Coturnix japonica: one gene and its partners. The protein of the gene in region 1 interacts with the protein of each later gene in a pairwise test. Links are inferred from orthologs where the notes say so. Each region holds a gene or a part of one and is shown on either strand. Other genes may lie near its edges.

Region 1 (3,930 bases):
TTTGGAACTGCCCCCAGGGAGCAGCGACTGCAGCAGCAAAGAAAGGTTTTAGAGGAGGACATCAGCTAAAAAAGGGATGTGCTTCACAAAGGCCTTTGGACCACATTCCTCCCTGACCCAGAAGAACCTGAGCAGACTCCTCAAGCACTCACAATACCATTGCATTGTTCCCATCTCTTTTTTGAGTCATCTGTCATGGCTGCTCTACCCGCTGACAGCACGGATACAAAGAGACTACGGATATAATGACAAGTCCTACCTTCCTTTGCCTAGAGCTGCTTCCAGCAGTGAGACAAGGCCATAAGCACCCTTGGCTGCTCTATCACCAGCAGTGGTGAAAGCAAAAGGAACCCTGCATATACTTTAGGAGAAAGTGAGATATCAGGTTCATGAGCCTTGAGGTCCCTTCCAACATGGACCATTTTGGGATAGGGAGAGATGAGCATGTTTGAGGACACAGACATTTTAACCCACCACCCAAGTTACCTGCAGTTGGATCTATTGATTTATTTATTTTTCCTTTCTAAACAGAATGTGCCATTTACCATTTCACTTCATTGCAATCTGCATCATGGTAGGACTGACACCACCCCGCACGAGCTGGAAGATCTAATATATTCATATGACTGAAATGCTTTTAACTCAATGCTTGTACAAACACCATGCCAATAAACAAGGAAAATGAGAACAATGCCTTTAAAAGTAGCAAGATTCAACCACCATTTGCTTTTCCTAATGCTCACAGGCACCTTCAGACTGAGCAGTATTGCACTACTGAAAGTAGCTGTGTGAAAACAAATGATTTCTAATCACAGGAAATACAGCGCAGGTAGTAGATCGTAACAGAAGACGTTCCCTGTCTTGAATTAACACCACTCAAAGCTCCCAGCAGCAGAACAGATGAGGAAGCAGCAGCCGCGATAGCTGTAGTGCTTTGGAGCAGGTAAGTCAGCCCAGCAACCTCCAGCCACGTTGAGGATGCAGCATTTCTTAACAACTCCAAAGGGAAACCTCTCCCAGAGCAATTAGTTTCTGATGAAACGCAGCAATTTTTGTCATACCACCCAGGTCACATGCTTGTAAAAACCTAAAATGAGTTTGAGAGAGCAGAGTTCTCCAATATAATTAATTAAAACAACAAAATACGAGTGAGAAAATCCAAGTTGCTCAATAAGCTGCAACTTCAGCCTCTTGCACAAAATGCTCTCAGCCAGGCAGGAATAGCACACGCTAAAAGGCAAAGAACACTTTGACGCTGCATTCGCTCTTTAGAACTAAAACCAACAGCTTCTAAAACCAACAGCTTCTGTCTGTTATTTAAACGATACCTGCCCGCTCCACAGGGCTGCGACCACAGCACAAGTTACTCAACTGCCTGCGTGTTGATGGACTGACTGGCATACAAACAAGGCACGTCAGTGACTGAGTTGGCATTTAGCACACGGCTCCACAAAACTGATTTCAGATCAAACATCGTCTTTACACCCTAAAAATACTTGCAGCCTTCTCGTGTCCGAAAGGATTTTCAGATTGATATTTTCCTTGCCAACTGCAGCCTCCTAAAGCACGAGCAGCACGGGATCAAGGAAGGATTAAAAGCAAACCAGGGTTTTATGTTGAAGAGTCGCTGCTGACTGATTGCAGTGCACACCAGAAGCAAGTTCACCTGGAACTGGAGTTCACCTTGTGCCATTTCTCTTATTGTTTGGCAATATCTCACGCTCCCACAGCCACAGTTCCATAAAGATCAATACCTGTGCCTGGGTCTGAATGAACCACGGCACCGAGATCTCCAAGTATCCACCTGTTGCCTTTAAAAAGGTCAGATCGGGTCTTATTTATTAATAATTCACCCCACAGCCTTAAGAATCAGAACCTGTGCCTCTTCCCATTAGAACAGCAGCTCAGCATTAGCTGGAGCAGCTCTCAGAGCTAATCCAGACCTCGGAGGGTGCAACATAAATTGGTTTATTCATGTGTGCACACAGAGTTGAGGAGACACAGAGTGCAGTCATTCATTGGCACCTTTAGCTCAGGGGAAGGACTGCAGGAGTTGGGTTTGGGAGAGGAAGCAGGAGAGGAGGAGAGCAAAAAGGGAAACAAAATACAGCAAAACAACAGACCCAAAGCAATGAGACGCACACAGAGAGAACAACGGGGCTCTGCAACAAAGCCTACGGAGCCCAGCGGAGGCAAACGAGATGAGAGGAGGGTTCGGACAGAGCGAACCTGAGGGAACGGCGGCTGCACTGCACACTGCAGGGGGCGGGTGGGAACCGGGAACCGAGAGGGGGAAAAGAATAATAATAATAATAATAATAGAAATAACTTGGAAACGCAGCAGCACCGCGGGCTGGGAGCGGGAATGGGGGAAGCGGAGCGAAGGAGCGGGGGAACAGCTGGGCCCCGCCGCCACGGCCCGGCCTCACCGGCGGCCACGGCCCCCCCGGCACACACACATATACACACACATACACACACATATATACACACACAGCCGCCCCCTGCCCACAACCGGCCCCTCCGCACCGAGCAGCGCCCCGGGCCCCTCCCGCGCCGTTATTACCTGTGAGGCGGATCTTGATGCTGGAGCCGTTCCGACGCGTCCCGGGATTCGACATCGCGCCCTGAGGCGAGATCAACCCGCTGCCCCGCTCAACCCCATACGGGCCCGCTCCAACCTCCGGCCGTTCTCCGCGCTCCGATCGCGGCCGGACCCGCCGCCGCCTCAGCCCGACCCGGCCCGGACAGCGGCTCCGCTCCGCCTCAGCGCCGCCCCGCGGCTCGGCCGTGACGTCAGGAGAGGCGCCGCCATCTTGGGGAGGTCGGGGATGGAGGGGCCGAGTGCTGAAGGAGGAGTGCAGCGCCCCCTAGTGTGTGGGAGGACCTACAGAACACAGCTGCACTGCTAGGCCGCAGCAATGTGTTCCACACAACTCCAGTCATCACTGAGCTTATCACCGAGATACTCTTTGGTCAGAAAAGTTCATCTCAATGAAAGGTAGAAACGCTCTGGATTAGGAAAGTAAAGCATCACCAACCCAGCACGGCACCCATAGACGCTTCGCTTTCAATCCAGTGCTGCAAAGGTGAAAGAAAGCAACTTACCTGTAACAGCCTCAAATAGACATGCAGGAAAAGCACTGACCTTTCCCTTTTTAGCTTGCTCTCAGTCAGCAGAACACCAGCACGCAGCAGCCCTGTGTCCAGGCTCAGGAAGAGCAGGAGCCCAGCTCCGGTCCACATCTCCATTTACACCGAGGAAGCATCAACCTCAGGCTCCTTTTACCCACTGAAATCCAATCATTTCCAGATGCTGCCTCAGCAGCACACTGTAAGGTGGTTCTGGCAGCAGAGCCCCCAGTGCTAACCCACAGCACAAAGGAAGGATGCACACAGGCACTCATCTCCAGAGCACACTCAGGTTTTGTGCTATTCCGATTTTCACTTCATAGTGTCAGATCCAGGAAATAAATCGACTCCAGCACTTCAACTACACTCAGCAAGCTCAGGGCTGTGCACCTTGTACAGACCACAGGGGCTCTGCTTCCTTCTTTCTAGGCAACCTGGAGGAGAAATACCCTCTATCCTGCAAGGAGGCCCAGGAGACACAGCACAAACACAAAGGCCAAGCAGGGTTCAGTTCCTTCTTAACAGTTAACAAGAGGTTACACACTGCAGGCAGGCAATGTCTCACACAGAAAACACTTCCAAAAACTCCAATATGTAATTTTCCCATATGTTTAAGGAACCAGAGAGCTGTGATCTTCACCACAGCAGAAGTATGAGAGAAAAGGAATAGAGGCAAGAAGTACAAATCCACAAGTGCAATTTATTACTAAGTTCCACCTGTAAAAGGGCTATACATCTCTACTCCCCTTGGTCAGGACACCCAGCCTCCACCCACCAAGTCAGAGCTGTGCAGTGCTT
Region 2 (3,830 bases), on another chromosome or scaffold:
TTGTGAAGCTGATAAAAACGTGGCAGTTCCAGACTCAGTCCCCACTTCATCTCAGCTGGTTTGAGGGCAGGCTGTCCTTGGAGCTGTAACCTGAGACGGTAAGGAATTCCTCACCTCCAAAGCAGCCGGTGGCTTTGCCTTTAGCCGTGAGGGGATTGCTGCTACAAAGTCCACGTTTTGGCTCTTCTTCCACACCAAAGAGCAAAACCCATAGAACATTATTTTGGGGTTTAACTTCTGGCTGAGTAAGAAATACCACAGGTAATCTAAGCCGATGATCTGTATGCATATATATATATAAATAATAATTGTATTTCATCCTTATCCTTTGCAGTTCATTCCTCCTTCGCTCCTTTCCTTTAGCTCTTTAACTGTGCACACTTTCTGTTCCCATATAATAACAGTATTCTTTTCTTAAAAAGATCTGGGATAAAATTTTGCATTAGTGTGCATTCAGGAGGAAATGACAGTTTGGAAAAGAACCCCAAATAGTTATATCTTCTAGACAAATGGATGTCGTAGCCTATAGAGAGGGAATTATCTCTCATTTTTAACCTAGATAAGTAAGATATAGTGCATATATATGCATCCTTCTCTACTTTAGAATCCAGCCAGGAAAACTACTTTAATTTGTGACTGTTGTAAGACTATGAATAAGAAGTTGGCATTACATCATCGTTCTTTGTCTTGATAATTACAAAATCAAACATAAAGAGTCTCTCAGTTCTCTGCCAAGTAGCTATTACTATAAGTTTATTCAAAAATAACCTTGCACTGACTGTGGAAAATAAACACACCATGAGTGGATGTCAGCCTGCATTACCGTAGCTTTATGTAGATTCTTTATTGAGAAATAACTGCATAGCAATTATGAAAATGAAACACCCACAGCTGGATTCTGTAATAAAGCAGAGGAAGCTCGGTGTCTTTGACTAGAGGTTATCTGCAAGGGGCCTGCTTGAGATAAATGATGCAGTTGGTAAAGCACAAAGGTGAGAGGTGGGCAGTCAGCTTTAGGGAAGTACAGTATATATGCCTGTGTTAAACCATTGCTCACGGGAAAGAGAGAATCCTTGAATTGTCTCATTAGCAATCTGAGGCTGATGCTCTTTCCCATCAGTTCTTCCTTATTTGACCCCTGCAGGCCAGAGCTGTGCAGCCATTCATGGCTGGCTCCACGTGGAAGCTTTGCCATAGGAAGGAAAGGTGTGGGGCTTTTTTAGAGCCCCTTCCAGCAGTATTTTGTGAAAAGGCAACATGCTTGTAACTTGGAGGTGATTGGAGGTGATTTTTGCTTATAAAACTTTCTAAATACACAGAAAGTCTTGTTGCTTTGTAACTGAAATATCAAGCAAATATTTGCTTGGCTTTTGGAGCTGCCTCTGTCTTGTTGCAGTTTTTGGAAGGGGGGGAAGTGGTCAAATAATTCAATCTTGATGTTGAACTTCAAAAACAAACAAACAAAAACCTCCATAGGAAAAAAAAAATCCAGACCCCTAAACATTTATATTATAAAACCAGTGCTATGGCTTCTTTTTCCTCACGCAATACACTTGTGCAATATATGACTAATTCCAAAATCTCCTAGCCTACATTGCAATATGAGATTTTGTGACCAAGAGATGTTCATAAATTTGAAAGCCACATCAAGTGCTACTACTCTTGAAGCTCTGCTCAAAATTGCAATGGCTAGAAGCATAAATGTGCTCAAGAAACTCCTGTTCTTGTCGGAAGATGTTATTTACCTTGCAACTCGTTCATACAATTCCTTCTTGACATAAAAAGCTGAAGGTAGATCTGCAGTTGGTGATGAATTACCTGGGAATTGCACTATCAAGGCTGAAGTATTAAGGTAAAAATAAGTAAATAAGTAACCTCATATACTCTCTTGTTCTGCCACTATATCTGTGCAGTGCTTGGTTGAACTCCTGTATGAATTAATAGTAAGTGTTTAGTTCTATCTTTTGTATTGCTTAATCCAATATTTTTTTATTTCCTTTACAGTTTTGGGTCACTTTGCTGTGCTTTGTATTTAATTGCTCCAAGGTCTTGGTGACTTGGTGACTGCTGAAGTTGTTAGAACACCCACTTAAGTGCTTGAACCAGTTGCAGAATTGGAGTCCTAACCTTTAATGTCTAACAGAAACATCTTTTTGATGAGATCAGAGTGTTCAGTCTGCTTGCAACAACTGTTTATTATTCACCTTTCAAAGATATTTCTTTAGTCACACTTATTGGTGATATCAAATGCAAAGTTTCAGAGAAACTGTCAAGCAGGGTTGGTGGTTGTTTTGGTCTCGTGGGTTTTTTTTTCAACAGATAATACTAGATTTATGGAGCTGTAATCTGTTACTATTTCAGTTACATTCTGAGTGTAAATAATAACGCACCTGAAAGAGACAGAGAGAGAGAAGGAGTGCAGTTAACTAAACAAAAGCATTTCCCAGGTTTTGTGGGCATGTAAATAAGTGTCCAGTACTTTTGGCCACTTTCTGCCACTTAACATTTAAGTGTTAGGGTATGATAAGCGGAAGTGTTTCATGCTAGAGCGTAAGTATATTTAACATTACATTAATCCTTAATGGTAAGAATTTTACAAGTTATATCGCTTAAATTGCTAGGTTCTTAAGCCGTGTTAGTTATCTTCCATTCACTAGTTAATCGTGAGTTTGTTTTGACCTTCAGAGACTAAACTGTAGACTTTAACAGCCTACATCATCAGAATTTTGTCTGACCATTTTTATTGAAAGAATCGAAGAGAATCTTAGAATCCTTGGAACAGACCTTTAAAGGTCATCAAGTCCAGCTCCCCTGTAGTGAACAGGGACATCCACAGCTAGATCAGGTTGCCCAGAGCTTGGTCCAGCCTGGCCTGGATTGTCTGCAGGGATGGGGCTTCCACTTCTCTGGGCAACCTGTTACAGTGCTTTACCACCCTCACTGTGGAAGACTTTGTCCTTACACCCAGGATCTACCCTCTTTAAGTGCAAAACAATTTCCCCTTGTCCTATCACCACACACCCTGCATAACAGCCTATCCTGTACTTTCTTGTAGCTCCCCTTTAGATACTGAAGAAGATGACCACTCTTAATATGACTTAATAACACCATGAACTTTAACTAATCCTGCTAGATGCCCAAAGACCAATGGCAACTAATTCTTTGACCTGATCAAGTGTACTGCAATTCCTTCTTGCTTCCAGTTCTGGAAACTGATCTTTCTCTGCAGAATATCAACTTACAACTATATTCTTCACTGCTGGGAGCAAATGTTTTGACCTTTTGTTCAAAGAGATTTTATTGTAGCTGAGTCTGATGGGGTGAGAGGAGAGAGACGGACACTACATGTATTTCAGTAATTGAAAGAATTTTTGTTCTCCGCTTGTTCTAGGTGGGGAAACACTACTTGAGATTAGCAGAAGAGGAGGATGAAGAACTTAACAACTGTAGTGCGGTTGATTGGTTCATCCTTGCTGCTAAGCAAGGTCGAAGAGAAGCTGTTAAACTGTTGCGTAGATGCCTAGCAGACAGAAGAGGTATGGGTTCTCTGAGACTTTTAGTCTGTACATCCTAATTTAATAATAGTCTATCCATTTTAACGCTGAAAAGACACATTAAAATACGGTGGGAACGTTCATGGCAAAATTATATGAGTAGCTGCAGGAAGCGTGTTCAAATGAGTGCTGTAAAAAGCAAACTGCAGCTTACAAAAACATTTGTATTAATGATTTGGTTGAATTCCTTCATGGAATTCATGTGTATTGTTCCCTTCAACAGCACTGAAGCTTCTTTTCAGTGACCATTCAGGTCATATATAACCATATACCACC
Region 3 (3,930 bases), on another chromosome or scaffold:
ACCACTTCTTCATGAGTTCAGATAGCTGTTAAGGGGATGCACTCCCTTGGAAGCCTTTCTCATGTAGCTTACAGCACATGACAAGTGACAGGTATATACAGAGCCTCTGAAGGGCAGGGATATTCCTCATTATTCCATGTGTCTGTACTGACAATCCAATTTTCAGTTCAACTTTTAGAAGCAGGAATTTTATACAGCAGATTCAGTAGCACTCAGTGATGAAAAGGAGTTTGGCATGCAACAGTGAAGAGATTATTAGGTGCCTATTTTGCAGTTAGAAGTGAACACCTTAAAAAATTATTGCTTAACTCGATTCCCATATGGACACCCACAAAACAAGCGTGCCAAGACACAGAAAATGTTTTGAGTATCAAGATAGCACAGACTTTAGCTCAAAGAGACACACAAGTCCTGTCTACAACGCTGCACCTACCCCAGCAAGCTTCCTTCGCTCTGCTTGTTAGCACACCTTGAGAGAGCGGCTCAGGAAGTTTGCACATCGTTGCTGCAAACCCAAAGGAAGCAAACCCAAATGCAGCCATTTTATGGCTGAGGCTCCAGCAGCTCAGTTTTAAGTTGTTAATCGTCCACAGCTCCTCGTGCGCAGCAGTAGGTGCCACAAACAAGTTTTTAAACTCTTGGCCTTATTTTAAATTCCAGATCATAGCTCAGATTCAGTGTTAGAAATGGGCATGTGGGATTCTTGTCCTTATAGGTGATACTTTCTACAATGTTTGAATGAGAATTAAAGTGTGTAAGAGAACATGCAGACCTGCGGAGGAAGGCAGGCAAGGAAGAGGATAAGATCACAACATCCTGCTGCCACTACAGCAATAATGGAGCTCCAGGAGTTCCCCAGGTTCAGCGCTCGGCTTGCACACCTTTTCACCCCAAAACAATTTGAAGTTACAACCCCCCTCAACCTCAAAGCGTGTGGAATACTGCAAAGTATGAAGGTGAAGGTCTTTTGTCATCACAAAGCACTGTGTTTCTTTATTTGTGGAGCGAGTATCTTTGAATGTTGACTATGCAACACAAGATGCCCCTTACAGTGAGTGTTTGAGATCTGCTGGGATCAGCGCGTGGGGTTTGGGGGAGTTTTGCTATGAATGCACACAGTAACAAATGTCTGCGAGTTTGCTTATTTTACTGTCTGCTGTGCTCTGAAGTCGACAGGAGAAGGCCTGCACAGTGCAATTTCTCAACTCCTGCAAGAGCCGACAGGTTTTTTTCCAAGGGACAATTTTCATTGCGTTCCCAAACAGGAGGGACAAGCAGGATTGGCTCAGAACATCGCCTGTCAAAAAAACCTGACACCACACATCTTTATTTAATGGACTTGTGCAGACTTTACTAAAAAGTCAGGGAAAAAAACCCAACCCATCTTAGGGAATTTGTTCTGTCATGAAGCAGTCACATAAAGCGAGCAGCTCTGCAGGGCCCAGTGGTCCCAGCATGGTTCCACCAAGGGTTGCTGTGCCCATGGAGCAACCCAGGGACCTCCTGTCACAGCCGGTGTTCGTCGAGTATCACAGGTTAATATCTGCCCTGCTAAATACTTCCTGCAGCCTTGTTAATAATACGTTAAGGTCTGCAACTCCTGCGTGACTCCCCACCCTAAGGAGCGCAGGACTCATCTGTACCTGTCACTGTTACAGATCCCTTCAGACAGGGCTCGTGTCCTGCTCAGAGCCACGTACAATCCTTCCTTAGGAGATGGAGATGAAGCAGGGGATAAATGCAGCCCTGGGTCCTTTTGGTGGCCATCACAGCACAGAGCTGTGCCGGGACCCCACAGCTGTGAGGACGTGACGGAGCACCCGGCGTTCTTCCCCAGCTCGTCATCAGCCGTCAATGTACACATCCTCTCCAGGCAGGAGAGCGAACGGCCCTTCCTGGAACCGCACGGAGCTGAAAGAAACGGGCTCACCCCGCAGCACGAAGTTACTCCGGTTCAGCTGCTGCCGAAGCGCCGCAGACAAAGCCGGGCAGCGCCGAGCGCGCGGCCTCCGGTGCGGGGAGCACCGAGAGCGGCACAGACAGTGATGTCACCGCGCGACGACAACAAAGGAAGCGGCACGGCTGGAAACTCGACGCCTTCCCCTCCTGCTTTCAGCCCAAATCCAGACACGATCGAGGCGGCTCCGACCCCTGGGCGGGCCCCGACCCCCCTCCGCCGTCTCCGGCTTCGTGTCCCGAACGGTCCGTGCGGCCCCGCGACAGCTCGGCGACCCCCCGGGGAACAAAGCGGCGCTCCTCACTTCACGGCCGGGACCCGCCGTTCGGTGCCCGCGGGGACGGACGCTGTGCAGCGCCCCGGGGGGTCCTCGGGGCTTCAACCCGCCCCCCCGTCCCGTGCCCCTCTCCGTCCGTCCCCGTCCCCACCGGCTCCGCCGCGCCGCTCCCCGCCCCCTCCCGTACCTGATATGGCGGCGGCGGCTCCTGATCCGGCTCAGCCCCGTCCCCGTAGCTGGCCCGGTCCGACTGGGACTCGTGGAGCAGCGAGATGTCATCTGATGTGGGGGACTTGAGGCAGTTCCCCATTTTCCTTCCCCCCGGGGAGCAGGGGCGTCCCCTCCGCTTTCTCCCCCTCCTTACGACGGACGGCTCCGCACCCTCAGCCGCCCCGCAGCGCGCAGCCCGCAGCCGCCCCGCCGGGGAGGCTCATGCCAGCCCGGCCCTAAGCGGCTTAGCGGCAGCACGGCCGCCCCGCAGCGCCGGCCGCACTTGGCCCCGAGCCGTGGGGCCGCAGGGCTCGGCTCCCGCCCGGGAGCGCTGGGGCAGCGGGGCTCAGGTGGGGTCCGCCCGCCCCCCGCCCCGCGGCAGCCCGGTGCCGTTCCGCTTCCTGGTCACCAGCTTTCTGCGCACTGGGCTTTGTCGCACAGGCCGCCCCGGCTCCTCCTCTCACTCCGCCCCGCCGGGATCGCGCACGTAGGGCCCGGCGGCACCGCGCTCGGCGGCCGGGGAGCTGTGCCCGCCCCGGCGCAATGAGGCCAGGCCGGCCGCCTCCGGCCCCACAGCGAGCGGCGCTTCGCTCCGCCCCGCAGCTGTCGGTGTGCGGGACGGACCCGGCGTCTGAGCTCGGGGCGGAGCTGTGCCGGAGGCCGAAGTTCCTGCCCCGCGCTGGGCCCCGGCAGCCGCTAAGGGCAGAGGGCCGGGCCGTGCTGCTCTTTGTGTGCGGAGGCGGCCTTGGAGGTGATGAGAGCTACAGCAATACGTGATTGATGTAACGGTGTGTGCAGCCTCTCAATTGAGAAGATAAACTTTTAAAGTGAAATACAGTTGTATGCACAGTGCGAAGTCGGCACCCTTCTAACATAACCACACCAACGCAGCATGAAGGAAACATGTTTCTTAAGGCACATTTAAGGGTTTCCTCCAGCTCAGATCCTCATAGTGCCTTCTTGCCCATCAGGTTCAGGCCACTGAATATTGATCTGAAGCAAATTCAACACAGGTGACAGCAACTAGAAATTAGGTCCTGAAGCAATAAAGCATGGCCGGCTTTAATCAAGGGTGTCTCAGCTGATCTGTGTCAGGCTCCCATCTGAGTTCTTTAAGCCAGCTGCTGGTACTTGGCTCTTCCATCTCTGTTCAGACCTTTGAGAGGCCCTTTAGTGCTTGGAAGGTGGGGAGCTGTGCTGCTGCTTGTTATCCACGTGAGTTCCTCCTTGAGGATTTCCTTTTATTATTGTTTGAGAGTTTTGTTTTGCTGCTGGTTATTGGGTGACTTAAGCACTTTCAGTATGAAATCTATAGCAACAGAGAAGATATTGTTGGCGTTTACAGGGCTTGGAAAAGGTTTTCCTAAGAAGCTAGAAGTAGTGCCTGAGTTGTGAGTGTTGCTTGTGATGGAAACACTTTGTAATAGTGTGCTGTAACTCACAATGAATACTGTACAGGGTGTGAATGTTTATCGCAGGAATATGT

The links.
Region 2: the proteins of SMURF1 (region 1) and WFS1 interact in binary tests that used the Homo sapiens proteins (3 or more experiments, as listed by UniProt). The link is inferred for Coturnix japonica from reciprocal best matches to the Homo sapiens genes SMURF1 and WFS1.
Region 3: the proteins of SMURF1 (region 1) and RNF11 interact in binary tests that used the Homo sapiens proteins (3 or more experiments, as listed by UniProt). The link is inferred for Coturnix japonica from reciprocal best matches to the Homo sapiens genes SMURF1 and RNF11.

The regions. Positions count from the first base shown.
Region 1 is NC_029529.1:4,357,760-4,361,689, forward strand, and holds the start of SMURF1 (E3 ubiquitin-protein ligase SMURF1), read right to left. Parts: upstream 2,780-3,930; 5' UTR 2,622-2,779; coding exon 2,567-2,621; intron 1-2,566. UniProt on the Homo sapiens protein: E3 ubiquitin-protein ligase that acts as a negative regulator of BMP signaling pathway. Mediates ubiquitination and degradation of SMAD1 and SMAD5, 2 receptor-regulated SMADs specific for the BMP pathway.
Region 2 is NC_029519.1:72,167,154-72,170,983, forward strand, and holds part of WFS1 (wolframin), read left to right. Parts: intron 1-3,391; coding exon 3,392-3,536; intron 3,537-3,830. UniProt on the Homo sapiens protein: Participates in the regulation of cellular Ca(2+) homeostasis, at least partly, by modulating the filling state of the endoplasmic reticulum Ca(2+) store.
Region 3 is NC_029523.1:21,408,400-21,412,329, reverse strand, and holds the start of RNF11 (RING finger protein 11), read right to left. Parts: upstream 3,011-3,930; 5' UTR 2,545-3,010; coding exon 2,422-2,544; intron 1-2,421. UniProt on the Homo sapiens protein: Essential component of a ubiquitin-editing protein complex, comprising also TNFAIP3, ITCH and TAX1BP1, that ensures the transient nature of inflammatory signaling pathways. Promotes the association of TNFAIP3 to RIPK1 after TNF stimulation.